Daphnia pulex: one gene and its partners. The protein of the gene in region 1 purifies or fractionates together with the protein of each later gene. This does not show direct contact. Links are inferred from orthologs where the notes say so. Each region holds a gene or a part of one and is shown on either strand. Other genes may lie near its edges. The genes, in order: serine-threonine kinase receptor-associated protein-like, cold shock domain-containing protein E1-like, SUZ domain-containing protein 1-like and U1 small nuclear ribonucleoprotein 70 kDa-like.

Region 1 (8,225 bases):
TTTATTTAGGTTTTTGTAGTACTAAAATTTGCATAATTTGCATAATTCGCTGAAATTACGTACGTACTACTAGGGTTAAAATTTGTGCACTTTTGGCGAGGTCTACGAAGATTTTTTTAGTGGTGAACCCCTAATTTTAACATGAAATACATATTAACCAATGAACCCTATCACATCTTTGTTCCATATGAAACGATTTTTAATAATGACTAAAATCAATAAATTTAGCATAATAATAAACACTATTTATAGAATTTGGTAGAAAAGAAAAAAAGAAGAGGTCCTACTGAGAATCGAACTCAGATTATCAGAGTCAAAGTCTGATGTGCTAACCATTACACCATAGAACCTTATACTTATTTGACAAACACTAGTACTGTTTCATGTTACATCGTCAGGTTTTAGTAATCATCCTTATACCAAACAGCTGTGCAATGGTTCAAGCAATACTATTGCTCATGACAAAACTGCTCAGTAATGAGAAGATTTAAAGGGTTTGTATAAATGTATGTATAATATGCATAATACAAATTATACCAATGAGCACTATCACATCTTTATACAACAGGAAATAGTTGTACTTATTATTACTAAAATCAAACATTAGCACAGTAATAAACCCAATTGTTTAAAATTAAAAAAAAAAAAAAGTCAGATAGGTCCTACTGAGAATCGAACTCAGATTATCAGAGTCAAAGTCTGATGTGCTAACCATTACACCATAGAACCTTGTTCAGAAGAGAATGACAAAGAGTGCATATGTACGAAATTTTTCTTGGTTCCAGTCCTTCCGAAGGAAACAATTATAATCAATTAATCATAGAATCTCTCTTCTTCACTTTAAAACAAAGTTAAAAAAAATTATCTGGTCAATTAATGATATCTAATTAATTTGTATATCTTCCCCTACTTGAAAGCCTTTTTGCAGAATTTTTTGTTTGGTTTTTTATTTCATTTTTGTTTTTTCTTTTGGCTAAGCAAAATTTATTAATTTATTATCAAGCTACATTTACTTTGTAGTTTGTTATCCACTATCCATTCATTCCATGTGGCTAAAAAGGCAAAGTAGGCCTAGTCTTGACTTTTCCATGCACTTGCAATTTGCAAAGCACTGGACCATCTCAAAGTGGCGTAAATGAGAACTAGATTTTCGTCTGCAGTATCCGACTGTTATTTTGATAAAAAGACAGAAAAATGGCCGCAATGATGTCCGTTTGCAGAAACTTTGGGAAAGGTAATTTACTTACTTTACAGAGATTTCCAAATGTTGCTCGTTGAAACAACTTTAGTCCCAGTATAATTTAAATCCAACTCCCGAGTTCTGACTAAATTTTATGAGTAATATGTTATTAGGCATAGATCAATCTTACTGACCAATACGTTTCATGGACGTAATTTGTTTTACTTACTTTATTTACAGTGGGGTTACACAGTCGCTTGATACTTGGAAATCCCTGTTTAGCTGCTCTTTCAAAAAAGAACATTATATTTTATGAGAATAAAATTGTGCCTGTATCGCAGAATGCACTTCATTCTGTGAAAAACTTCACTGTGGGTCCCAAAGCTCTTGCCGAGACAGCCTCTTGCAAGTCAGCAGATGATCACACAAAACTTTGGACATTAGAAAGAGGTTTAGCACTTGCTCTGGTCCCTCTTGTACCTGCAGCATTTCTATTCCCTTCCGCAGCAATGGATTACTTGCTTGCTATTTCTTTCACACTGCACGCTCATTGGTAAAACAAAAAATTCTTACTCTTCAAAATAGAAAATTCTTAAGAAAGTCTTCTAAAAAAACTTGCAACATTTCTAGGGGTTTGGAAACTATTGTAGTAGACTACATGAGACCAAAAGTGGTTGGCCCTGCATTAGCCAAACTTGGTGTTGCTGTTGTTTATGGAATTTCAGTTTTCACTCTTGGTGGACTTTTCTATTTTAATTATTCTGATGTAGGAATTGTTAATGCTATCAAAATGTTTTGGAAGTTGTAAAAACATCAGGGAGTAAGAAAGAATATGCATACTACATTACAATGGGCTTTGTTTCAGAAGTGTGCATGTTATGTATTAGAATGTCCAATAAAAATAAAACAAGTTGTAAAAATGAGTAATTGTACTAAAAAGGAGATTTTTCTCTACCCAAGAATAATTCAGGCACCATTTCAGCAAATAAAACATCCCAATTCCATGGTACATCTGCCTGATTGTTAAATCAAAAGAAAATTGATAACATTAATAGAAGAAGCATGTGTGAGTATACTATGGTCATACTTCTTTCAATTGAGACTCAGGTAATATATTTTTTGTTAGAATCCTTAAATCTACCCCTTCTAAATATTGAGCCATATTTTGTTTAGAAATGCTATTGGCATTTAACTCTTTGTATGCAGCAGCTCGGTTATGATTTTCTCTAAAAAATAATTAAAACCCAGTAAAAATTTTGATGAAACATTTTTGAATAACTGTAGAATTTTACGTTTTTAAGTTGCTGACAATGTTGAGATCATCTACATCTTCATTGCTTAAGTCACTGGTGGTTGAAACAGGAACTTCTAAATTATTTCCATTACATAGTTAAATATCTTCAAAAATTGGTACAAATGATTATAGGCTGTACCTTCTTCTGATTCTTGCTTCTTCAATTTTATGGAAGAAAACCTCTTTTCTCTGCAAGATATCAATACCAATATGGATTAGAATTAGTTTATTTACTAAACTAGATGGGACTCAATGACTCACAGTGCGCTCAAAGCTTTGTTCGACTGTTGTGTTTCATCCGCCCATCCACCCTGCTTCTTGAATCTTGACGTTGTTTTTGTTCCATTGCTCTTAATAGGAGACGTCGATTTTTTCTGTCAAGATTACAAATGTTAAGGTTAACACAAATTAGGTACGTATTGAAATTTTACATTACATCTTCGTGCATTTGAGAAACACTTTGTAGCTAAAATTGACAGCCAGAGCCAAGTCAGCACCTTTAATAAATAGCCTACAACTCTAACAAGTCGAGTATTGGTTTCCATGGTTACTTATGCCATGGTGTTCCTGGTGGTGCTTCAGGACAACTAAATTTTACTTTTCGCAGAATGGTTACCTCTTAGTCTCTTACCTGAGCAAGGTAAACTGGGTTTAAATAAGGCTTATTATATTTGACAAATTACAATAATTTATAGTTTTAGCTACGATTTATTTGCTTAACTCATTAACTGTCGTTTCAGTGCTACATAGATAAAATCGAAATATCACTATATTTTCATTAACACCGTTTACTCATTTTGTCATTTAACGCCCACTTTACTAGGCTACCAATTACTTTAGTTCTAATAATGAAAAATTTTCTTGATGTTCCCTTGAAACATTGTTTGCGATTTTTGGCATAACAAATATTTGGGCTGCTTGTACATTTTACACATTCAATATTTGTTTAGCGTTTTTCTAAAAATGAAAAAATTTAGCTGAGAAAGCAAGAAAGTACTAAATGATACATTCAGAATTAAAAAATGCAATTGCGTTTTAGCCGTTTACACCTTACAGTATATTTTAACAGTTAAGATTTGTCCGCTATGATTTTCCGCACAGTGTTTCATCCGATCCCTAGTAGCCTAGCCTGTATAAGTACAGTTAGGGAAACCGGAAGCTCTTGTTTTTGTGCGCACCTTTTGTGTATAGCAACCTTTAGCTTAATTATGTCTACATAATACTCAGACAGTTCTTGTAGTTCTTTTTTTAATAGTAAAAGTTTACCATCCGCTCAATAACGCCACATGACGTACGTTTTAACTATAAATCTATAATTCTTTCTACGTCAACAAAATGAACTTTTTAAAGGCTAAAATGCAGCCGTACAATACCCATGAACGGTACAGTAATTAAATCACATTAGATTATTGTGATTTTTCCCAATGAAAAATCTATGTGATCGGCCCAGATCACACTGTACGTCGTTTACCTTTTTAACCACGCATTAAAATCGGCTCAGAAAGGATTGATTTTGCGTGCTGAGTGTGAATAATCAATTGGGGGCATTCTACTTAAAAAGTGAGTTGACGTCACTCTTGCACAATTGCATAAGTCCTGCATTGCTATCGGTATTGGCCACAGATGGCGTCAAATGCCGGGATAATTTTCCCTATGATCCTAGTGTTCTGCAGTCGGCAACACCGACAACCGACAACCTGCTAAGTTAGCCAAGGGGCTTTAATTTACCATCAATTCCCCAATTTGTGGCTTCTTTTGTAGTTTGACTGCCCGATCAAGTAATTCCCATCTCGACTCTGACCGTATTAAATAACCAAATAACTTTGGGATAATGGCAGTTCCTACTACATTACGACAAACACCCTTAACTTGCAGTGGACACACTAGGCCTGTCGTTGACTTGGCTTTCAGCGGTTTCACGGAGAAAGGTTACTTTCTTATATCAGCATGCAAAGGTATTTGTTAATATATTTCATTTCTTAGTTTATCCATTAACCGTTATAGAAAAATGTAGATGGAAAACCCATGATGAGGCAAGGAGATACTGGTGACTGGTTGGGCACATTTGAGGGCCACAAGGGAGCTGTATGGGGAGTTGCTTTAAGCCAAGATGCCAGCAAAGCTGCATCAGGTGCTGCTGATTTCATTGCTAAAGTCTGGGACGCTGTAACAGGGGAAGAAATATATTCCTTCCAACATCAGCATATAGTCAAATGTGTGGCCTTTTCCCCAGACGGGAGCTTGCTTGCTACTGGAAGCAATGAAAAGCTTCTTCGCATTTATGACTTGAATAATCCAACTGCTGGTAAATAAAGTACTTCAAAAATTATTTAAGAAACACAAAACATGAAGCTTCTCTTTTTTTTAGATCCATTCATCATATCTGGCCATACCTCTGGATTGAGACATATTGCATTTCTTGGTAAGGGAGAGAAGATAGTTAGTTGTGCTGACGATAGAACCGTTAGATTTTGGGAACGTTCAACGGGAAAGGTACAGACTATTTAATCTTTTTACGTCTTCTCAAATTAAAATTGTTAATATTCCGTTTACAGGAAATTCACCGTATAGATTTTACCTCGATCCCTAATGGCATTGAAGTTTCTAACGATGATTCCATATTAACGGTCGCTAGCGGGAACACAGTCAGCTTCTGGAATACAACCAGGTAAACGACAAATAGGTTTTCATTTTACATACTTTGCTTAATAACTTCTTGTTGCAATCATCAGCTTTGAAAAAATAAAAGAATATCAAGTGCCTAGCCAAGTCCATTCGGCCTCATTACATCCTTCACGCTCAGTCTTTGTATGCGGTGGCGAAGACTTTAAAATGTATAAAATGGATTATTCCAATGGACAGGAAATAGAATCGTTTAAAGGTAAATCTTGTCTATAGACAGTAGTTGTGTTTATTAACAATATCTTTTTTTTTAGGTCACTTTGGCCCAGTTCATTGCGTCCGTTTTTCTCCCGATGGTGAATTATACGCGTCAGGATCAGAGGATGGAACCCTTCGTTTATGGCAAACTACCGTTGGTAAATCCTATGGTTTGTGGAAGTGTAGCAGCGATACTCCTACTTCATCCGAAATTCTGTCTTCACCTGCTAAAACCGAAACTGTGGCATGAAGTGGAGCAGAGGAAATGACCAAGTTATATTCCTTTTTGTTCCCAGTTATAACCTCAGTGATCTTATTCACACCACGATAACAGTGGTCACTCGACTTGTAAAGACGATATCATTTTTGAGCCATCAGGAAATACAAGGAATCCATCCATTCCTTAAACTTAAATACAAATTTCGAAAAGGCAAAGACAACACGGTTCAATGTGAAGCACGAATTAGGTATACAGTAGGCGTAAATCCAGAAACAAAAACTCTTATAAGAATTATTTCGAACGCTTGTTAGTTAGATCTTCACTTTGACATCTGGGTGTAATGGCTTGCTTGCTCGACGATTACGTGATAAACCTAATCGAATTCCTGTTGAAGGAGAATTTGAATTTCCATTTGAAAAAATATTTGCACCACCGCCGGCTTTACCTTTGAAATAAAAAAGTTCAACACTTGAAAAGTAATTAATTGGCTTGTGATTGATTTACCTGGTGGTTTCCATTTCACTGCAACCCTCAATGGCGGACTAGGTGGCTTGAAGATGTGAACAGGATCTTGTGTAATTTGGGTGTTCTTGGAAGGTACCGCTTCAAAACCTCCGAGTTCGTCGTTTTTAGGAAGGCCGTTGTCGACTATCGTAGAATGAATTATTCCTGTGGGTTTCGATGAATCACATGATTCATCTCTACATTGCTTAAGATTTGTCACATCTCTTTTCGAGTTCGTCTCAGGCTTCTTTTTTAATTGCAGTTTTTGTTTCAGGACTTTCGTTGCCTTTTTGGCAGTTTTGGTAGGAGATACTGCTTCCGCTGACACTGGTCGAATTTTATTTGAATCTTCAGAAATGTGTTGAAGCGCGGAAATTCTTGGGTATTCTTCAGCTTTTTCTAATTTATGGTCGTCTTTTGATACTTTGATTTTTTCTTTTACAGATGTGTGAATGTTATTCTCTAGGGCAACTGGTAATTCACTGTCTTCATTGATTGAAGCAACTAGAACTAAGTTCTGGCAATTTTGGATAAGTTGTTCAGGTAATGACCTTTCCACCATTTTTGTGCAGGGGGATAGTCTAGGTAGCAGTGGAAGTGAAGTATCTTCACTATCATCTACTGAAAGTTTTGTAATGGATTCAACACTACCACGGGTATTCAACTTTTCATCTTCTTTACTTTCAATTTTGATCTTCTTATTTTTTGCTGTATCACTTTCACTGATGATCCTTCGTTTGGTTATTCTTTCTTCATTTGTTTTAAGGGGTTTGAAATCCTCATCCTCACTAACTATCTTCTTTTTTGACTCATGTTTTTGGCACATGTTTTTCACTGTAGCAGATAGCTCAAAAGTGGTTCCACAGATTTCAGAGTCTGAAGAGTCACTCAGTTCATGAGGAGAAAGACATTCACACGTGGATGCGATAACTGTATCTTGTGACGAAATGCTGTGAATTATCAAATCAGGTTCTGCTATGGAAAAATCAATCTCTTCCACAATCTTTGATCCAGCAATTATGGGAGGCTGAATTGCCTTGAAAAAAAAATGCATGCAAAGCATAAGATACTAAGTAAAAAAATGATAATATTTTAAATTCAAACCTTTGTTGATTGATCTGAAATGGGTTTTAGTTCTGTGAATTTCGATTTATTAGACAACTTAGTTTCCTTTCTTGAACCTAGCTTCAATTTACTCAGTTTTGAAGGTTTCGATGCAGTGGCAGAGGGTTTTGAAACCTTAGTGTTGACAACGAAATCGTTGTCACTATCATCTGATGATCTATCGCCATTCATGGCTGCATAATTTATCACTTTCCGAGTTCTTCAAAGAGATATAAAAATAAGTCAGCATACATTTATTCCATGAGTTATCAAGTAGTACCTGGTATTTGGCTTTGCAACTTCCATTTTAAGCACATTGAAAAGTAAGACCTTCAATCAAATTCCAAACAAAGATTACGCCTTGTTTGAAATAGCGGCGAAAATCACTCTCTCTCTTTCGGTTAGTCTTCAAGTGTAGTCTGCTATCACTTAGGAGCCGCCTGGCGGTCAGATTCAGAAGGGGGAGGGTCGGAGGGAGAATAAACGGGAAACGGAGGATGGGCATGGGATACAGGCCTGCCTGAACAGGGTTATAATTTTCTAAAATCTGGTTTATTGAGTTCTAGTTTGCGGCTGGTTTGCGGTTTCCTTTTTTTTAACAAACAACAACATAAAAATAATTATAAACTAAATATATATGTATGTTGGGTTGGTTGAGGATTTATATAAGGATGCCACTTCACTAACTACAAAGTTTTCAAACTAAGAACAAACAATTTCATCTGTATAAGCCAAAGGCTTACATTCACATCTGTATTGATGTCTTCATCCACAGTGGTCTAAGAATAGCACATAAACAAGTAGAAAGCAATCAACAGTCACAGGAAAAATACCGATTTTACATAAACACACAAACAGGCTTACGGTACGTTACATTCGGGAAAAAAGGGTGGGTATACAGAAATACCAATATATACCTACTCTTTAGAGTGGCAATCATGGTCAATCAAATTGTTACCAATCAAAGACAGTTCTTCTCAAACTACAGTATAAACAATTGGAGAAAATAAAGGTGGTTTGAGAAAGACACGATATTTCAAAGA
Region 2 (8,706 bases), on another chromosome or scaffold:
CAACTGACGGTGAAGACAGTGTACCATGGAAACGAATTTCTTGACCCGGTGATAATCGAAAGGCCAACTTTTGAAATCGTGGTCCGGCTAGTAATTCTACTGTGAGTGTTTTATCGTCATTATTATCACCAGACCACGAAGCCAGTTGAATCGGTATCTTCGATTCCACCTTCGAAAAAAAACAAATGTATCAGTTCAGTTCCAAAGGGCTATTTTATATGCATGTACCTCGAGACGGAGAGTGAATTTGGAAAAACGATCAACATGGCATAAGCTTCCGCGATCATGATTAAGCTTCCAAAATAAATTACACCGCCTCGAATCAAGTGACTGGGGCAACCCGTGGTCGTGATTATGACAGGGAGGCCACTTTTCTCCAATTCGACATTTCAGCCATTCAAACCATTTAGGCGGGAGCCATTGGAGTAGCGATTCTACAACATTATTTCGGCTTTCAACTGAGACCTGTTTTGACAAAAAATTACAATGATTGCACTGCAGATTGTCTTGTTATTTAAAGGGCAACGAAGTTCTTACCTGACGTACAACTCCCTCCCATTTCACAGTTAAACCACTCAGTGCGAAACACGCCATTTGAACAGAGGCGATAGAAGAACTAGAGTAGGAGCGAGGGGAATAGGAACAAAACTCGTGATAACGTTCCCAGTTGAGCTTTTTGTTTAAAAAAAAAGAGTGAATTATTTTAATGAAATTAAATAATGTACGTACAGCGATCAAATTAATTACCTCCATGGAATCGGAATTTAAATCAACATCATCTAAAGATCCATGGATCATACCACCTGTTCCTGATCGTATAGGAGTCGGAGGAACGGGGGTCGTCGTTGGTAAACCCAAGACGTCTTCGGGAAGTGTGTCGGGAGCTTTTAGGTATTCCAACAGGCGGTAGGTGAGTATGGCTAGGCATAGCACCATTAGTATGCTATAATCGAATTTTGAAAGTAAAAACAATCCAACATGTATTTAATATAAAAACAAGTACTACCTTTGATTCCTACGAGATAGGAACTTAGTCCTCATTTGAACTATGACGATGAGACAACCAACTACTCCTATACCTATCCAAGGGTTTAATCCGATGACAGATCCAGACGAATAGAAGGTAATGCAAATAAGCTGTTGAAGAGATGTTGATTTAATAGTCAATAACTTAAAAATAACCCAAAAACATGGAACGAAGATTTCAAGTTTCAAAACTTGTTACGTACCACATTGACTTTTGTTAACCAATTAGAACGAAGAAGTGCGGCAGCAGCAAGAAAACCCAGACCTCGTAAGATCTAAAAGAAAAGTTGAAGATAAAATGTAACAAACTTTAAAAAAAATTGAAAGTTACCCCATCATAGCCTGATAACTGGAACCAATCGATGGCTAGGAAAAGCCAGAAAAGACTGAGGAAATGCGGTAGTGACCAGGCTAATCGATGGCTGGCATAGTTTAACTGCCTCATTCGTTTGACGTAGAAATAAATCAGAACCAGGATTCCTGCGAATGTGACAACAGTTCCTAGGTGAAAACGAATACTCCAAGGGGAACGGTATAGTTGGATCCAACGCAGTGACATGCTTTCGTCATCATCCGAATAGAAACTCCAGGGGGTGAGATCAGCACGCCAAAGGATCCAGCAGGTCAGGCATAGGATGTCATAGAGTCCAACTCCAATGTGCGAATCGAGACAGGTAGAACATAGTAATGCAGCTAGGACACTTAGCTCACCAAACGGGATCCAAGAACCAGGATTGGGTAAAGTGGAGCGCACTAGATGAAGTGCGGGTTGGAGTGAAATACACAAAAGGGTTGCCAGTAAAAGTCGACCAAGATGATATGGGAATGTACCGTAGATATATAAATTTTCAGCCGTTGCTGGCTCAAGCAAGCGTTGGGCATGCTGAGTTAAAAGCAACGACCAACCATGGAAAATATTCCATTCTCGGACAGAGTGGCATGACTGAACTGTAAAGTATATAGCTGCTGCCAAGGCCAGAACCCAAGAGAGCAAAATTAAGGCAGAAGAAAGTTGCAAGTTAAGCAACACGATGGGGTTGCTGAGAGCAAAGGATACTATATAATAAACGATTACTAGCGTAAACATAAGATATAATGGAAGGGGATGAGTGTAGTCGATAAATTTGCTATGCTTCAGTCGATGATAGAGATAGCTAAGATTTTGTTTGGATCCTAGATTGAGCAACCGTAATAGGGGAGGGAAGTGACCGGATGCGTAAACAGAAGCTGCTGACATCTAAATATCATTTACAGAAAGAAGTAGAAATAGACTATCATTAGCGGATACAATTTGATGATTCGAGACCCTTTGCATACCATGTGTTGTTCACTGATAAGTTCTCCTCCCAAAACCAAAGAAGAAGAATCAGTAACTTGTTTTAGAGCTTCTCCATTCTCAAGCTGTGATTTTTGTTGAGTAGCAAATGATTCCTCTAACCACTGTTCCAGTTGTTTAGTAGTGATGAATTCATTTCCTTGAGCCATATTAGTAAACAATGTTTTGGCCCCTAATCTTGCTGCTCTCTCATGCTGTGACATACTGGAAAAAAGGTTTGCAATGGAAATGCATTAATAAACATTTACAACTAAGGGTCGTAGTGAATTTTGACAGCATACTCTAGGAAGGAACGAATTTTATGGCAATTGTTTTCTGTGATGCCCCTATTGGTTTCAAAACATGTCTTCAATAATTCTGCTCCTTCATAATGCCCCTGATCAGCTGCTTTCAACAACCTGAAGGTAAAATAACTATGTGAGGAATTTAAATTTCAAGCAATCAAATTTCATAACTTTACCAATGAATTGCCATTTGATCGCTTTCCCCACAATTCTCTGAAAGAAACTGTTTGGCTAGAGCCACTTGGCTGTGGCCACAACCTTCCTCTGCCATCCTTAGTCGAAGTCTCTGTAGTGATCCATGTGGACCCTCATGAAGAACCCATTGTTTCCCTGTTATTCAAATTAGCTATAATTATGTGATTAACTAAAATTTCACAACGTTCATGTAATTACGTTTCAGTCGACCGTTTGACGGGCCACTAATACTGGTGTTTGCTGGGGGACTTAGTCCGCTTTCGGACACACTATTGGTAGACCCGTTATTCAAGTCGGATTTTGAATTTGTTGCTGCCATTTCAAAAGACGTGACGAATAAAATACTACTCAGAAATAATTACAAACCGATATAGACATGATTTACAAATCCTTATCTTTTCACTTAACATCGAAACTCGAAAGCTCACCGCTCATAAAACCGAAATTTTCGTCTGCTAAAACGATATCAACCATCAAGGCATCAACAAAGTATTGATTAATTGAGATTGTATCACAAAATCAATGCCAATTTTATTAAAATTCTATAGTTAAATTCAATTTTTCATTAGATGTGTATTCCATTATTTAATGAATTCCTTACAAATCCACATGCTAATCAAAGATTAATATATTAAGATCAGTACCATCTAAGGCCACTATGGCGCTTTCGTCTTCGAAGTACTTTGTAACGCTACGCGGGGCGCTTTCGTCAAATAAGTTGTATCATGGCGGCTAGTCTGCTGTGCCGTTGCGTTGGGTAAAGAAATATTATTTTTGGATTTGTGTTAGTTCGTCAAATGTGATCGTATTTATAGTTATTTTGATATAATCCCTGTTGTCGATAAACGATAAAAGAATATTGAGGGAATTTATTTTATTTTATCACGACAACGTTTACTGTACGCTTATACCATAGCATTACGTGAACGCTTATTTTCCGGTGGCATGTTCAGTAACAAAAGTAGCCCAAAGGCTTTGATTTGACAAAAATCGTTGATATGACATGATCACTTTTTTTGTTGGATTTTGAATTAGTTTGGACTTTCTGTTTCACAACTTAAATTGTAATTTAGTTCCTTAATCTCTTGGCATTTATGTAAATTTTTATTTATTTTTATACCACGAACAATTGTTTCACTTTGTGACATTGTTTTTGTGTATTTTCAGATTACTGTAAGAACCCTACACCCAAAAGAGTTGGTCACCATCTTGAAATCGAAAATAACTTCTAGTTGAAGACTCAGCGTGCTTTCAGCAAACAATACAGCCACATTCATCATTAACATATTTAAGCCTCCCATCCATCTACAGTTCTTGAACATCAGCTCATTGTTTAGTGTTATTCCCCTCTCTCACATAAGAAAAACATAAATATCTCTGTCTCAAGCCAAAAGAAAACTTTCCTTAGATATTGTGTTCAGATCTATTGGCCTTTTGAATTTCACCTTCTTTGGAACTATTGTCATTCATATCTGTATCCCAAATTGGTGTGCCAGTGTAAGTGAGTGTGATTGTGTGGTTGTTTTTAAGGGTAAGGGAGTAATTGCTGGTAGGAATTATAGCCCTTAACAGCAACCCATCAAGGAAAAGGCTCAGGTGTTGATCCCACATCCCCTCATTGTGTTTGTTATCCCCATCCTTTTGTTTGCTGGTTATCCTCAACCATTGGTTGCAGTGACACTTTGAGTTCCAACTAAAGTCTTCTATAAAACCATTCAATTTCATTGTGTTACCAAAAGAGTGTTACAACCAGCTGTAACCAGAAACAATCTCTTGAGCTAGGAATTTACAAGCAATTTACCATCGTTGCCTTATCTGTGATATTGTTGTCGTACATTAAGAAAAGAAAAGAAAAAAAAAAGTTAAAAATAATTTACTCAAAAACAAAACAAACAAAAAAAAAAACGTATAGTGTGTGCCCAACATTTGAATTTCCTTCCTATTTTTGTGAGTGCTTAGTGTAAATCCTCTATTCTGAAATCATCCACCTAGTTCTGTTCCTGATCTTTCCCTTCGGCGACCTTCCGCTCTAAAAAGTGCGAAGAAAAATGTCGACGAATCCACAATGGAACTCATCTCTCTATTCTCCCAAGTCCGCTGCTCCGGCTTCGCTCCTCGGATTCGGCTACAACGGTGGCAGCAATAGCAGCAGTAACCTCTTGTCGTCTTCTGGAGCTGCAGTCAACGGGTTCAACAACTTTTCATCATTCGGGCGTTCAAACTCTGGCAGTGGAACATTTTTTGCCTCGCAGACGAACTCTACCAGCACTCAATTTTCGATCAACAACGGCCAAGGTGGTTCAATATCACCTACACTTGGATCTTCGTCTATCGGGCACTTTCCCATTGGCACATTCAATGCTAATTCGGCTTTTAGTGAGGATACCATCAAGACTTCGCCCGCTGTTCACGTGGGCAATGGAAACGTGCATCGTGACGGAGGTTCCAATTCTCCAAACAATCTCGGCAGTAGAGAAACGGGAATTATCGAGAAACTACTGGTATGAAACGTAATTTTATTTGTTTCCTGGTCAGTGTTATGTTATAATGATTTTATTTGTTTCGTCTTAGCATTCCTATGGATTCATTCAGTGTTGCGAACGCCAAGCTCGTCTCTTCTTTCATTTTAGTCAATTTGACGGCAATATTGAACACTTGAAGATAGGAGACCCTGTTGAATTTGAAGTGACTTACGATCGCAGGAACGGGAAACCGATTGCCAGCTCTGTTTCTAAAATCGCTCCTGAAGTGGTATGATTCATTTTCTTACTTTAGACAGCGCTGTTATTTTATTTTAATCGTCCTACCAGGTATTGAGTGAAGAGCGCGTAACTGGAACTGTCACTACCGAATTGGGAACTGGCCAACAAGGGCGCATAAGCTACGAGAATCGTGGCGAGTGCTTTTTCTTGCCATATGGAAAGGATGATGTGGAAGGAAACGTGACACTCTCTGTTGGTGATAAAGTCAGCTTCCAAATTGCCACTAGTCACAGGTATCTTTATGCTTTCGCGAAATGATAATGTTAATAGCCTTAACATTTCGTTCTCTGTTTTTCTAAAGCGGTAACCTGGGAGCTCGTTATATCCGCTTGGAAAACCCGGCTCATCCAGTTCGCTACCAGGGAGTGGTTTGTTCTCTGAAAGAGAGCTTTGGATTTATCGAACGTGGTGATGTCGTGCGCGAAATCTTCTTCCATTTCTCTGAAGCCAAAGGCATTGCTGACACGATGGAACTCGGTGACGACGTTGAGTTCACGATCCAAACCCGAAACGTGCGTTGCGTCTAGAGAAAAAAGAAAGAATTATGCGAGACCTCTAATTGAATTTTTGCTGTTTTATCTGTTTAGGGGAAAGAAGTGGCTTGCAGTATAATCAAGTTGCCTTCCGGAACTGTCGTCTTTGAAGACGTCAACCCTGAAACTCTGAAAGGCCAAGTATTGAAACCTTTGGAACGCGGTGCAAATGTTGCCGCTCTTAATACGGAGCCACTCTCTGGCAGACTTCGCTATCGTGGACGTGATCGTTCGGAGGTAGAAATTCCATTTGGTGATAAAGATCAAAAGGGCGAATATACACTCAGGTATATCGATAGATTTAGTTGGCCTCCATATGTTTTTTTCTTGCTCCTCCACTTTCAAGATGGATCAATAATGAAACTGAACTCATTGTTTATTATGCCCCAGACATGGAGATTGGGTCCAGTTCAATGTAGCGGTTGATCGCCGTGATAGACTGGAACGCGCCACCAATATTGAGTTGCAGGACGAATCATTTGTGGTCTCGGGTGAGAAACGTGAAACCGGTGTGGTAGCCGCTGTCAAGGAAGGTTATGGCTTCATCAAGTGCGCCGAGAGGGACGCTCGGGTCTTTTTCCATTTCTCTGAAGTAATTTCATTGGACGAGGATGTCGATCAAAATTCCGAAGTAGAATTTACGATGTCACAGGTAGCAAAATTCTTTTAGATAATCAGTGAATTGATCGGGAATTAATCGAGTGGAATTAATGTAATCTTGTTAAAGGATCAAACGCAACCCAACAAGCAAAGCGCAGTTCGTATAAAAGTGCTGCCCCCAGGAAGTGTGCAATTTGAAGTGATAACTCAGCGAAACATAGTTGGAACTGTTACCAGAGAACCGTCAAGCAGTTGGGCTCAACGCAGTCCTAGTCGGGTAAGATCGATTGCCTTATCTATTTTCTGGGAACAATTTCTATGATATATTGTTACTTAGGTGAATGGAGAGAGGTCAGCTGATGATATGGGGCTGGTATCCTACCAGCTGAACGGAATAATGGAGCATGTGCCCTTCCAGATGAGAGAATGTGATGTTCGTAATAGCCCGCGTCTGGGTGATGAGGTAAGCGCGTGCTTTAGAATTTCCTTGAATCGATATTTTTATCTTTATGTTCGTTTTAGGTTGAATTTGATTTGGCCCAAGTAAAACGCACGAAGGAACACATCGGTCTGAATATCCGTATAATACAGCGTGCCCAAGTTAGCAAATCCAGTAACAAGTTTTCGGAGAATGGAGAGAACAACAAGAACGATGCGCAACATACAAATGGAGACGCGAACAAAGTTCAAAAAGGATTCATTGCGTCGTTGAAGGATACATTCGGGTTCATCGAAAACCTCTCACACGATAAGGAGATATTCTTTCACTACAGGTTGGGTTTTTGTTTATTTTTATTTGTTAAGACATCTTTGACATATTCTATTTATTTTGGTAGTCATTTTGATGGGGATGCCGATTCTTTGGACCTGGGTCACGAGGTTCAGTATACTCTTACAGGTAAAACCCCTTCGTCGGGGAAAATATCTGCTGAAAACGTTAAGTTGTTGAAGAAAGGAACCATTGCCCGACACGCCATCGAGGAAGAGATTTTGGATGGTATTATCGTTCGCCCACTGAGAAACGTTAATCCCGACCAAGCTCAATATGCGGGACTAGTTAAACTAGGCGCTGACAGTAATGACTTTTTTTTGTTGTGATTGTTCAAAGTTCAATTTAAAAAAATAACCCAACATAATTTATTTTAGTGGATGCTGAAGAAGTGTCTTACGAATTTGGAATCACGAGCTTAGCTAATAAGAAAGACTTCCTCCAACGTGGCGATCAAGTTCAATTCCAAATCGAACGAACTGAGGACGGCAAAGAAAGAGCTACTCGTATACGTGTTGTTCGTAAAAAGCTTCGCTCTACAGTTGACGCTATCAAGGGCCAGTTTGGATTCCTGAATTATGAAATGGAAGATGGTATGCTTAGTTTAAAAATTAAACGTGAACTATCAATAATTCAATTTAAACTTGTAGGTAAGAAGCTTTTCTTTCATCTTTCTGAAGTGAAGGATAATGCAACTCTTCAACCCAACGATACCGTCGAATTTGTTCTCATTACCAACCAACGTACAGGGAAATCTTCGGCTTGCAATATTGTCAAAATGTAAGTGCACACAATTTTGCTAACCTTATTTCTTGTGCTCATCATTGGTTGTTGTTTTATCAAATACAGGGAAACCCAACGTCCAGATTGGTTGGCTGCTCGTCTACGTACCATGTCGGTTGACGAGAACGGACCCCGCTTCTATGTGCTTCGCCAACCTAAAGGTCCGGATGGTACTCGAGGATTCAAAATGGCACCTCGTTCATCGGTATCTAGCAATGGCGTATCGTCCTCCAAGACCAATGGCGACTCGTCTGAAGCTGTGGGCAATGCCTGAATGACATCGAATTGGTTAAGCTACAACTTTGCTGTTTCTCTTTAACACTTCCCTCACTCAACTATATCTTCGTCGCTGAACAAATAACGAAAGAAAGAAAAAAAAACCAAGCATGTGGGAGGAGTCATAATGAGGTTCTTTCCT
Region 3 (7,794 bases), on another chromosome or scaffold:
TAGTATAATTCATGGCAATCTTGTGAATAATGAAGGTTTTCAAAATGTCAGCAATTGTGATAAAGATAATGAAAGTCAGCAATTAGGAGAGAGTTGGTTTTCACCACCAATTACATCAACTCAAATAGTGTCATTTGATTTGATAAGTTCTGATGGAGATTTTTCACAAGATGAACTGCTCTTAGGCAATGAGAAGCATTCAGCAGATGGGACAATTTCATCGGATGAGATTATGCTATTCACAGATCCTGCTTACTTACTAGCTCTTTCACCTCTCTGTGACCAGACCAATGTTTCTGAAACTCCCCCTCCACAAGGGGAATCCCTAAATTGGGAAAACAGAAATGTTACAGATTATCTGTTTAATAGCAGTAATTTAATAACCGTTGAGTCTTCAAATAATATTTCAATCCAAACTATTAGAGCGCCTTCAAAAAGAATGTTCCTTCAAGAAAAAAGCAAGAAATCAGCTAAGATAAAGAAACCAAAAGTAGAAGGTTACAGTTGCAAGCTGAATGGAACAATGTATCAAGTATATAATTAATACTTTATTCTATAATTTTATGCCATCTTATATAACTGCTCTTTTATTACAGGTTTTTAGTAGGGATTTGGATGTACTTGAAGCCATTGAAAGAGGACTTAAAGTAATACAAGAGAAGATTCGTCAACAGGGAATGTGTAATGTGAGGCCTCTTTGTCTACAACTAAATCAAATTGAAACGATGATGGGTATTCTTGATAATGAACAGCTTGAACTAGGGATGCCTCTTGAGGTATGTGTTCTATCTCAATTACATACTATGCTTGTAGGTCAATTTTTCAAATTTCAAAGTTATAATCTTCTACTGAAGGTATGGAAGGAAATGATGGCACTTACCAAAGCTATGTTTAATGAAACTCTACATGAAGTTAATCTATGCAAAAAAAAAAGATTTGAACTTGAAACCTTCACTGATGAGTTGACCACTTCCTTTTCACATAGCTTCAACATATCTGGTTCTGAGCAGACCAAAGAGAAATCAAGTCAGCAGCCACTCACCTTTAACAAGTATCTTTACAAAAATAAGGCTTTAAACAGTCTCATAGAATGTATGCCATGATTGCAATTAATTTTGTTTTATTATTCCTTCTAGAAGAGATGAAAACACTGAAAAAATCCTTGTTAGAACTCCAGACGCAACAGCATCACATTTCGAATCCCAAGTATTGAGAAATGACATGACAGTTGAAATTGAGCAAGAAGAGAATGGTATCCAATTGTCTGGAGTATCGCAGCAGTTAAACGACACAATTACGCAAGAATCCGCTAATGAAATCCCCAAGAAGACGCCAACCCAAACAACTTTAAGAAAGCAACGATCATTGAGAAGCTTAAAGAAAAAATCCTCCAAGAAATCTTATGCACCCAATACAAGCGGAACATGTGAGGAAAGCCATAAATCAACTTTACCTCGAAAAAATGTTCTCCGAATGGATACCTCGACAGACGGTTTCCGGCGTCCTGATGAAGTTGATTTGAACCTTCCGTTAGCTGAAGATTCCATCCACGAAAGAAACCCTTTACAGACACTTGCAATGCCATCGACTGACACCACCATACCGATCAGCGGAAACTACTTGGAAATCTGTCGAAATTCCTTCAGTTCCACCCTCAATGCAAATGAATCGCTGTTATCTCAAAAAAAATTGCAGGTTAATGACTCACAATTGAATCCTGTTCGCGTCACCATCAGCAACGGTTTCAATTCATCACAGCAAATGGAAGAAATTGTTATCGCAGAGAACGTAAATGCTACCAACTACCAAGATGAATCCTTTATTGTTGAAGCCTCACAGAATTCGACGCTCTCTTTGTTCAGTGGAAACCGGAAATGTTTACCCAAAATAGTGATGATGAGTTTCAACCTGCATCCATTTGTCCTTAAAGGAGTTTTATCCCCTGGCAAAAATAACATGAAAATGAACATTAACAATCGCATATACATAGGATCTCTAACACCTGATGGGACAATTGAAATGAACGGTTTCAGTTTCCCGACAATAGGAAATTGGATAAAGTCCGTTGAAGGGAAAAGGTTTGGATGTTTAAGTCGTACAGTTCAGAAAACTTTGGAACTGCAGTACAATGGCAAACCTCTAGTAGAAGTGCTTGACGAAGGAGGGAAATTAAACAAATCACTTTTGAAGGACAACGTCGAAATTTCTCCGAGCAATTTCACTCAATATCCCACATTACAACCTCCAAAAGCAGATAGCAATCTTCCACCGAAAACAGCTCCAGTTATCCCTGTTCAAAACCCGCCTTCACATCCACAAACCACAGACGAAGTTGGCCAGAAAAACGCAAAATCGAATAATGATTTGAATACTAAAGAAGATCTGCAACTAGTTCCCGACGAGATGACACGTCACATCAAAACCATTTTTCTTCACGCTCCAGATGAGTATTTTCCCATTTGTCAGTGCGTTGAACAGTACTGGTGCGGTGCACAACCCTTTCCAAAACACCTTTTAGACGAAGTCGATTCTTGGTAGTTTAGTCGGTCTTAATCTATTTTCTTGTGAATTTTCGTTCGAAAATAAAATGCTGTTCAATAAACACATCGTATTGACTGATTAATAGCTCAGTAGTTGTACTGTACACGCACACGCCCCCCTCAAGAAAAAAAAAGGAAAAACAATTTGTGGAAAGAAAACAGAGTGGGAGAAATTATAGATTTAAAATTAAAGAAAAGGTGTCGCAGTTTAAGTAAAGCAAAAGGAAGTCTTAATTTTGTTGGTTGAAACCTCTTGTTCCGTCAGGACCCTTTGGCAGGCGGACGAGACAAGATTCCTCTGTTCGTAGATTTTCCATTCGATTTTGTAATTTACTTATACTAAAAAAAAAATAACATAATAAACTTACTAATTATATTCTGGTTGTTCTAAGTTAGAATTCCAGATACTTACCCAAGGTCTGGCAAAGGTATGTTGGCTGGAGCAGCTTCGCCTAGAATTCGTAGTCGTGCTTCAGCATACTCTGCTTCTTTCTACATTAAGAAATCATATCTTTAGTTAAACCCAATCACTTACAAATTCAATTTTAATAATAATGGAAATACCTGTTGGAGTGTTTTAACCAGGGGCTTGGGTTTAGCTTGGCCATTCGATGAAGCAAAAGCACCCTGTTGGTGAGCATGAGCTGATCCATTATGCTGAGGTCGCTTAAGAATTTTAATCTGAGGAGGCGGTCCAAGAACATTAGGTTTCACACTACCATCTCCATTGAACAAAAAGTGAGTTTGCTGTTGAATTTCATCAGGATTCCTAATCAAGACACAAATTGAAAATTAAAAGGCTGACTACACTCAAGAAGGAATTAAGGGAACTCAACACTAATGCAATTTCCCGAACTAAAATCTGTCATTACGAAAATGAATGGGATAATAAGTAAAATTTAGCATACCTCACTTCTTCTGGTATTCTGGTCTTCAAACTTTGAAGTTTTTTATCAAGAAGCTAAAATATGTAAAGATGACTTACTATTATGAATATGACGGTAGCAAAAGACTTCAAGAAATATTCGACTTACACCAGAATCAGCCATCTGTTCCCAATCATCAAGAATCTCACCATCAGACGGAGGGCTTTTCATTTGGAAAGAAGACATGTAGGCCATTCACTGTTTCGTTTAAACTGAAATGAGTAGTAGCAATTAATCACAATTGATACACGCCAACATTTTTTCGTCTCACGTACAGCATGTGTGCAGATTTTAAATGGTTAACCTACCTATAGAAACTGAATAAAAGTTTTTGCAGTTGATGAAGTTAATGAATCATAGTTCTTTAGATAGTCGGTTCGAAACGAACAAAACAAAGGGAAAACTGTAGATGGTAGAAATTATTCCTTTATCCCTGATCACCGACTCAGATTTCGACGACGGACATGTTCCATTGAAGAGCCATTTACTTTCTTAAATGTATACAGCTTTTGCTGTTGCCAGATTGAATCATTAGGCGTCTCTCGCATACGGTACTCAGGAATGCGCCAATGCGCCTTCGTGGAATGCCGAATGCAGCAGGCTAGCAGCTGATTGAACTGCAGATAGTATTTTGATAATTTCCCATTTACAGTTCTTTATATTTGATAAAAATCAAACAGTATTTTATACTATTTTATTTCACTATTTTTATTAAACCAAACGAAACGTCAGTTGGTTGTTAAGAATTCAAATTCATTCGATGTTAGTGTTAACACCTTTTCTCTGGGTAACACTGAATGTGATGTTTCCGAATTTCAGAAAATTTCAAAGAATAAATATTGGAACCAATTTAGATAATATATTTCTCCGTTAACAACAACAAAAGAATCATCCCAAGATATGGGTTCTCAAAAGCAGATTTTTTTTCCTTAATTATTTACATAAGGCCACACAAAAATCAAAAAAAGCATTTGAAAATGTAAAACCAACAACCCAGTGGGAAAAAAAAATTAGATAAAATTGAAACAAGCAAATTTCGACGGTAAAATAACGAGAAAAAAATCTATAATATCACGTTTCATAAAAAAAAAAAAAACTCATGATGTTTCTCTTTTTAGCGTGCTGCTGGTTTCTTAAGATTCATTCGCCAAGGTGAAATGATAACGCCCACTCCAGCTGATTCAGCGGGGCGAGGCGACGTAGACACTGGGTGATTACCTACCGACGACGAAACTGATGCGGCTTCCGCTTTCACCTCTTCAGAAGGATGGCTTCTATTTTGCGATCTTGACAATAAAACCACAAAAGATTGAGAGTTTATTACCGTGATGCCAAATTATTAATTAACATTTATAAGAAAACTAACTGTTTGACATCCTCAACTTCCTTCCGATCGGACGAAGTTGCTGTAGTTGTAGTGCGCTGTAGGAGTTGGCGCTTCCATGCCGGCATGGATTGTTGCCTCTTCTCCTCGAGCTCACGCTGACGCTGTTCCTCGGCTTCCTTTTTGGCCTTTTCAGCTGCTTTGCGAGCAAGCATCTGCCGCTTCCATTCGGGAATCACAGCTCCCGTTACGTCCTTGTCCGGTACCTTATTCAACAATCAAAAACATTTATAGATGCTACGACGTTTCTTTTCAAAAGAAAAAACAAAACAAAACAAACATAAGTATTCAAAAACATATTAAGGATAGAATACCTTCTCCAAAAAGTTGTCATATGTAAACTGTTTCTCAAACTCCTTGGCCTGAGTTTGTTCTTGCTGAACTTCCTCTTTGGCGCGTTCAACTCTTAGTTTCTTAATACCAACTACAGAGATATCTTTGCAGGTTTTAAGTTCAGCGATCAGATCAAGCTGAACGGGAATTACTTCGGCTGGAAACAAAAAATTGTCAACTTTTATAATAAATCTAAAATCAGGATGCAATGTATGTACACAGCAAATACCAATTGGGAGAGGAGCAGCAGCTCTCGATGGTGCCGATACGGTTTTCGCTAGTTTATTTTCAGTTTTGCGCAACTGGACACTCTGAAGGTCAAGAATGCTGATGGACGACAGAGGCTGCGATAGCGAATTCGTCGGTGCCAATGGTGCGTGATGTGGTTGCGACTGTTGTTGCTGATGATTGTTGACACTTTGAGTAGTTGTCAAAGGCTTGTGGTACGAAACATAAGAGTCATCTTCCGGAATGACCGGTAGCGGGGGTGGAGGAGGTGCTGACATAGACGCATTGCTGAGCAGTGCCACTACAGGACTTTTAGTCGTCTCATTATTGACTGCGGGAGCAATTGGCACGGTTTCATTGGTTTCCGCTTCTTCTTCCTCATTATCCGGCAGTGATTGGACTTCTTCATATACATTCTCTGTGTCGACGTCATTCAACTCTCCTTGGTCTAGTTCCACTCGTTTTTCTTCCTGTTCCTTGACGCTCTCAAACGCAGGCAGAGGCACTGAAGAATAGACGATTGGAGCAGGTGCGTGTCGCTGATTGTGCATGGGAGGAGGTCGGATGGACCTGTTTGACGGTTGAGCCATATTGATAGACTTCAGGTATTCCGACGGCTTGATCAACGTGTCAGTCTCGGATGGTGACGGAAATTTCGGAGGGATGAAGGGTAGGGCCATTTGCTTGCTCAGCAAGATGTGTTTGTTGCTACTTGGACCGCCGTTTACCGGATTGGCAGCCTGTTGCTGGTCGGCATGCAAACGCAAGGACTCCATTAGTGCGTCACCCATGTCCGCTGGTAGCGACATCGGCCGATTCAAGCAGGTATGACCTGTTTGTGTGACAAGTAGAGAACAAGATATATCAGACCTAGATTTCACTAAACTGGCATTTATCAAACAATTTCTTCGTCAACTCGTTGCATACTGACCTGATTCATTGCGGATGCCCTTCCTGGTGTTGCGAAGGAACGAGGGTTTCATCGTCGGGTCATCGGTGTTTCTTGTAGCGTAGAATTGCCTAGTGGCTTCGGCTAGAGTAAGGTTGATTGGACCTCCTACACTGCTGCTGTCGTCGTCGTTACTCCTATCGGAATCTTCAGCTCCCGAATCCGAAGTCAGTGACGAGGAGACGGAAGAACTTTCCACGTCGGCCAGATTTCCTTCTTCCCTCGAGTCCTCGGCTCGGAACGGCGGAGGAGGAGGAGGTGGTGGCGGCAGTGTGTTGCACGAACTCGGTTGCCTGTCCGAAACATGAAATCCCGTTGGAATTATTTAACATAAAAAAAAATGAAAATAAAAAAAAAAAAAAAAAAAAAAAACGGGAGGCAACACGGTACCGGTGTTCCATTCCCATCGACGGAGAAATGGCTGTACGGGTGAACGAATCGTCGGCTTGTCGACTATGAAAATGCGGCAAGTCATTGGAAACATCAGACGGCGATCCGCAAAATTCTGAAAAAGATAAAACCAAAGTTAATACAAACTAATGGACTGCGGTTAATGTAATTTTCAGGAGCGACACTTACCCGGAGGCGGAGGGATGGAAATGATGTCATCTTCATCCTCATCAGAAGACGTATCATTCCGTAGAGCGTTCGGATTTTCGTAAACGCTTCGAGCACTGGAATTCGGCACGGAGTAAATCTCCTCGTACTCATTTTCCGGTCCTCGAGCGGAAGATCTCGACGAGGAGGAAGATGAGGGAGAAGAAGAAGAAGAAGAGGAAGAGGAAGAGGAAGAAGAAGATGAGGAGGAGGAGGAAGAGGTCGGTGTTGACGGCGAAGACAATTCTGACGATGAAACCGAAGACGAGTGACTGCTGGATGCCTATAAAAATAAATCGTAAATGAAATCGAATAATCCCCTAGTTAATCACTAAAATGATGGGACAATACATACGTGGAACTCTTCCGATTGCGCAGATTGAATCAGATTGTTGTTATTGTCTTCGTCGTTTGTTAAACTGGCAGAATCCGAACCGTCGCATTCCGAGGAAGCTGACTCCGTCGTTGCCATTTTCGAGCTGCCAGAGTGAGACCGGCACGACTCGGAATCCTTCAAACCGCAGAAGCCGGCTCCAGCAAAGTTTGTTGGACGTTTTTTGTCGATTATTTCTTTGCCAGCGACAAACAGTTCCTTGACACGCGTGTAGACGATGGAATCTGGATCGTGCAGATAAAATGGTTTTTGCTGGGGGTCCGTATGTTGGTTCTCATGATGGTGATGATGATGAGTATGACGGTGGTGGTGGTGGTGACGATGGCCGGAGCTCAAATTTTGGTTTTTGCGGTTCTCCAGCTGGTCAGACGGATTGAGAAAGAAACTTGTCTGGTTGGGAATGGTTCTCGACAGTGCTGCCAAGTCAACCTCTTTGCGGGGGT
Region 4 (4,216 bases), about 4.5 Mb from region 1:
GGGAACCAAAGTAGCTGTTCCGTTTTAGGACACACAGCTAGGGTTTTGTCCTTGACGCACCAGAGGTGCTTTCTTCGTTTTAGACTTCACACATTCTTCCGATCACACTGCATGATTTCTTGAGCAAAGCCTATAGAAAATTCGAAAAATTGCACTGACAAATCCGCTGGGGCCGACATGTATTAGCAACTGGCGTTTTGGTGTAGCGGAATTGTGGATAATATATCCAAATTATTCAGTTTAGGAGGTTTTCCCATCTAGGTATCTCGGGCAATCTGCCTTAGTAGAACTATGGAAACATGTTCACAGATTGTATGGTTCCATTTTTGGGTTTATTTTTGTGGGCGGACCGGCGGAGTGCTTGCGGTCACGTGATGATGGAAACTCGATTCAGAATCATGTCGTGTGTATCAGACTTTGCCGCGTTTTGTTTGTTTATTTTTTTGCATGTGCTAACGATAAAAAGGCCTATCCTTAAGCTGAGTTAAGCATGAAGGACGAAACAGTATGAGTTTTTTGGCGCAAAAAATTTAGCTAACTAAAGTAAAATTTTGTTATGGTCTTAAAGTAGAGAGCTAGAGACACCGTCTCAACTTTCAGACGATAAATACATCAAGATTAAAGACATTCCTAATCCTAAGAAACCATTAATTTCAATTAATTCAATAATTGAATTCTACGCCATCAAGAGGCCAAATAATATCGAACAGTTTTTTTTTACTTTGTTTTGGTTTGTCTGCAAGTAGAAGTTGAAATCCAAGCTGATTTTTGAAAACCACAATAACATTAACCGAACTTAACCGCATCAGCAATGTATTTAAGAAAAGGCCGAAAAGGCTTTGTAAGAAAGAAAGGAACTAATTTATTTATTTACCAATATTTGGGACTTGGATGTAATTGAAAGATGCTGTACAACTTGAATCTTTTGAGATGCAGTAATGAAATAAATCTTACCGTATAAAATATGTTTACCATATATTAAACCTTGTCAAAAATGCACGTAGAAATTCCCCCTTAGTCTCATTTGAAACCTAATTATGTCTATTTTTATGTAGTATTTATAGTTTTTTTTCCTTAAAGAGCATTAATTTAAATGTTATAAGTTACCTACTACCTACTTACTAGACTCCACTTTCAAGAAATTTAATGAAAAATATCAGCGCCAAACCCATTAAAATCCAATAAGCAATAAGCAACAAGCAAACTAAAGGGCCGGGGGTCTAGTATTACGATTATAATATTTAAAACAATATAAAAAGTAAAAACTGATACAAATTGGTTGGGGCCAAAACGCTGTTTTTGACTGTAGTGACTATTTACTTTTATATATGTCTGATTCTGATCTGGTATTGATTCGTCTGCTTTTTTAAATTTAGTTTTATTTCTAGTTGCCAAATATATATTTTGTTGCTAGCCTATTTACGGCTCAAAAAAAATTTATGAAATTGGTCAGATAAATTAGAAATTACAAAATCCCGCTGTTTTTCCTAAAATCTCAATCCCATCTCATCCCACAATACCCGTTTTTTAAAACGGGTATTTTCAATTTTAAAAACTTGAAAATTTCAAAAGTGGGAAAATCCCACCAAAGACCAAAGTGGCAGCCCTGCCGAGCAATAGATAGACAGTAATGGACTAATGGCCGACAGCTAAGACGCTCGACCGAGAAGCTTTTTGAAAGGTCCATGCTCATTGAAATATTTGTGAAATGACGCAGTTTTTGCCTCCAAATCTTTTGGCTCTTTTTGCGCCACGCGATCCCCCTCCATTTTTACCACCACCTGATAAATTGACTCATGAAAAAAAAAGAACGCCATACATTGGTATAGCGCAGTATACAAATCTGTTTGAGGTTAGTATTTGATTCCATTAAAAATTAAAAATTGATATAGTAGTCAAGGTAAGTATTGCAATTTGATCTAATTTGATTGATTTGGGAAGTAATGTATGTCTTAATTTACTAATGCACGGGTCCCAATCCCAATTTATGGAACAGTTTTGGTTCATTTATTCATTCTCCTCTAGATGTGTCGATGAGAATCCCAAGTTTTCATGTGTGACATGTGAGATGCAAAATATTTTGTGAAAATGTTGTGAAAGTGTCTTAATTTTCTGGAAGCACAGTGTTTCCAGCTGAGCCTTTTATCAGGTTGACAATTTAATGTTAGCATATGTCTGAGGGGTGTAAAGTAGTCATTGTTTCACAAAGTTTTAAATGAGAGATGTGGAACGAAACATTGCATACTAGAAGCATTCTGATGAACTAAGTACTGAGCTTTCAAACATAACGAAATTTTTAATATCATTTTATATTCTTAACAGGATCCTAAAGATACACCCCCTCCTACGCGAGCAGAAACACGGGATGAACGGCGCGAAAGAAAACGTCGCGAAAAGGCAGAACAAGTTGCCTATAAACTTGAACAGGAAATTGCAATGTGTAAGTTCTAATTTTTGGTGTGTTTCTACAATTTCTTTTATCAATTTCCCTTTTCTCTGGCATTCATAGGGGATCCACACAGTAATGGTGTTTCTACCATGGACCCCTTCAAAACGCTGTTCGTTGCTCGCATTGTAAGTGTCAATACTCATACTATAATTTTTTTTTCTCATCACTTTTATTTTATTTCGAGCTTAATGAATAATGAGTGCTAAGTTATAACTAGTAATCCGCATGAATGAAACGATAATTCTTGAAACATTTTCTCTCAGAATTTTGATACTTCGGAATCTAAATTGCGCAGGGAGTTTGAAGTGTACGGAGTTGTTCGGAAGGTAACTTACAAGCACCATGTGAAATTTAATCACACGCTTACCACGCTTTTTAATGTTACAGATTGTGTTGGTGCATGACAAGAGGACTAGTAAGCCACGCGGTTATGCATTCATCGAGTATGAACATGAGCGAGACATGCATTGTAAGTATTTCTTTTCTATTATACCTAAGTCGTGTGGTAACTGAGGGTAGTGGGCTAATTAGTAAGGCCTGCGATAGCTTTCACTGTTCAATTAATCGTCGCACCACCAATTTGTATGATGATGAAAGGGGTGGGGGTGAGGTGGGGAAAATCTGTGATTGATTTGTACCTTAAAGTTTTCCTATATTTCATTTTGTCGTTTCCGGTCACAGTCGCGGCCTCCGACTATTTGGACGGTCATGTGGCCTTTGTCGCTTTTTGTCTCTTGATGCTAGGTTTGTATGGTCAATTGGTAAGGTTTCGTTTGGTTAAAGTTAAACCAAAATCCCTTTGAAATCGACTGCAGGTTCAAATTAGCTTCAAAGAAAGTATCTTTTCGTTTTCACCCTCCCTTCCCCTTGATGGTAGTAAGTATCCTGGTAAGTCGGTTACTAGGCTTTCTAGCGCCACTAAAAATTAGGGCCATTTCAATTCGATCAGATTCTTCGAGTGCTGCTGCGCGTTAAGAGGATTCACAGGTAAAGATGGGGACAGCTTGAAGAGGGAATGGATCTGCTTCTGTGATTGGCAACATTTGATCGCTTATTAATAGATCTGGATGTTACGTGAACATAGCCGTAATCTGGTAAACGGCCGTGGCGTTGGTTTTTTATGCATTTTCCAAGTGTTATGATTGGTCATACTTGAAATCATTGCATTTTTCGTTATTTGTTAATTCACGGTAAATATTTTTCGAAATTGCTGGGAGGGGTAGGTAATGGAGATCCTTCGGTAGGTGATATTAGGTTTGTGATACTAATTGTTGGAACTCTCCTTCTCCATGTTATACACGCTGAATTTTTCGTCTTCTCTGCCTGCTGTACTACCCGTATTTACGATTTGTTCGTTTTGCCGACGGCGCCGAAATACTGGTTTGTTGTTTTAAAATACCAGCTGCGTACAAACACGCCGACGGAAAGAAAATAGACGGCCGCAGAGTTCTTGTAGACGTAGAAAGGGCAAGGACTGTCAAAGGTAATTATTTTAATTAAATAAGTTTTATGTTTATAGTTTGCTGCCCTTTTTTTCGAAGGCAAATTTTAAAATTTGTTTTGAAAATCCATAGGTTTTTTATTTTGATTAATCAGTGTAAATAAGTGCACAAAATTTTTTTCTTCTTGTTAGATATTATAATCATGCCGCCATGGTTTCTAAGTACCTAAACTATTGCATTCCAGGTTGGCTTCCTCGCCGTTTGGGTGGAGGCTTGGGTGGGACTCGTCGTGGAGGACCAGATGTAAACGTAAAACATTCAGGAC

What was found.
Region 2: the proteins of serine-threonine kinase receptor-associated protein-like (region 1) and cold shock domain-containing protein E1-like purify together in Homo sapiens (affinity purification with mass spectrometry; 3 studies listed by BioGRID and IntAct, counting the BioPlex papers as one, with this or other methods). This does not show direct contact. The link is inferred for Daphnia pulex from reciprocal best matches to the Homo sapiens genes STRAP and CSDE1.
Region 3: the proteins of serine-threonine kinase receptor-associated protein-like (region 1) and SUZ domain-containing protein 1-like purify together in Homo sapiens (co-immunoprecipitation; 3 studies listed by BioGRID and IntAct, counting the BioPlex papers as one, with this or other methods). This does not show direct contact. The link is inferred for Daphnia pulex from reciprocal best matches to the Homo sapiens genes STRAP and SZRD1.
Region 4: the proteins of serine-threonine kinase receptor-associated protein-like (region 1) and U1 small nuclear ribonucleoprotein 70 kDa-like purify together in Homo sapiens (affinity purification with mass spectrometry; 3 studies listed by BioGRID and IntAct, with this or other methods). This does not show direct contact. The link is inferred for Daphnia pulex from reciprocal best matches to the Homo sapiens genes STRAP and SNRNP70.

What each region holds. Positions count from the first base shown.
Region 1 is NC_060026.1:10,620,588-10,628,812, forward strand, and holds serine-threonine kinase receptor-associated protein-like, read left to right. Parts: upstream 1-4,111; 5' UTR 4,112-4,305; coding exon 4,306-4,429; intron 4,430-4,488; coding exon 4,489-4,779; intron 4,780-4,842; coding exon 4,843-4,967; intron 4,968-5,029; coding exon 5,030-5,142; intron 5,143-5,206; coding exon 5,207-5,355; intron 5,356-5,410; coding exon 5,411-5,604; 3' UTR 5,605-5,756; downstream 5,757-8,225. Other genes in the region: succinate dehydrogenase [ubiquinone] cytochrome b small subunit, mitochondrial-like, read left to right, coding at 1,195-1,234, 1,421-1,733, 1,811-1,988; intraflagellar transport protein 43 homolog, read right to left, coding at 2,113-2,196, 2,268-2,406, 2,473-2,548, 2,614-2,663, 2,736-2,848, 2,911-2,922; uncharacterized protein LOC124205018, read right to left, coding at 5,886-6,019, 6,079-7,114, 7,183-7,402, 7,463-7,488. UniProt on the Homo sapiens protein: The SMN complex catalyzes the assembly of small nuclear ribonucleoproteins (snRNPs), the building blocks of the spliceosome, and thereby plays an important role in the splicing of cellular pre-mRNAs.
Region 2 is NC_060018.1:4,244,627-4,253,332, reverse strand, and holds the start of cold shock domain-containing protein E1-like, read left to right. Parts: upstream 1-3,497; 5' UTR 3,498-3,598; exon of another isoform or gene 3,599-3,937; intron 3,938-4,008; 5' UTR 4,009-4,889; coding exon 4,890-5,342; intron 5,343-5,412; coding exon 5,413-5,592; intron 5,593-5,651; coding exon 5,652-5,836; intron 5,837-5,904; coding exon 5,905-6,115; intron 6,116-6,190; coding exon 6,191-6,423; intron 6,424-6,526; coding exon 6,527-6,788; intron 6,789-6,863; coding exon 6,864-7,013; intron 7,014-7,073; coding exon 7,074-7,199; intron 7,200-7,258; coding exon 7,259-7,509; intron 7,510-7,572; coding exon 7,573-7,811; intron 7,812-7,882; coding exon 7,883-8,098; intron 8,099-8,155; coding exon 8,156-8,285; intron 8,286-8,354; coding exon 8,355-8,562; 3' UTR 8,563-8,706. Other genes in the region: wolframin-like, read right to left, coding at 1-169, 229-465, 538-672, 748-943, 1,007-1,137, 1,230-1,301, 1,358-2,263, 2,344-2,566 and 3 more. UniProt on the Homo sapiens protein: RNA-binding protein involved in translationally coupled mRNA turnover.
Region 3 is NC_060018.1:4,645,211-4,653,004, reverse strand, and holds SUZ domain-containing protein 1-like, read right to left. Parts: upstream 3,986-7,794; 5' UTR 3,742-3,985; intron 3,679-3,741; 5' UTR 3,662-3,678; coding exon 3,575-3,661; intron 3,502-3,574; coding exon 3,449-3,501; intron 3,310-3,448; coding exon 3,105-3,309; intron 3,033-3,104; coding exon 2,953-3,032; intron 2,880-2,952; coding exon 2,771-2,879; 3' UTR 2,612-2,770; downstream 1-2,611. Other genes in the region: uncharacterized protein LOC124210490, read left to right, coding at 1-532, 597-776, 855-1,051, 1,137-2,538; uncharacterized protein LOC124210484, read right to left, coding at 4,581-4,752, 4,833-5,056, 5,165-5,340, 5,413-6,243, 6,343-6,653, 6,751-6,865, 6,940-7,240, 7,313-7,794.
Region 4 is NC_060026.1:6,141,064-6,145,279, reverse strand, and holds the start of U1 small nuclear ribonucleoprotein 70 kDa-like, read left to right. Parts: upstream 1-1,416; 5' UTR 1,417-1,708; coding exon 1,709-1,852; intron 1,853-2,322; coding exon 2,323-2,440; intron 2,441-2,509; coding exon 2,510-2,574; intron 2,575-2,712; coding exon 2,713-2,775; intron 2,776-2,836; coding exon 2,837-2,918; intron 2,919-3,851; coding exon 3,852-3,932; intron 3,933-4,135; coding exon 4,136-4,216. UniProt on the Homo sapiens protein: Component of the spliceosomal U1 snRNP, which is essential for recognition of the pre-mRNA 5' splice-site and the subsequent assembly of the spliceosome. SNRNP70 binds to the loop I region of U1-snRNA.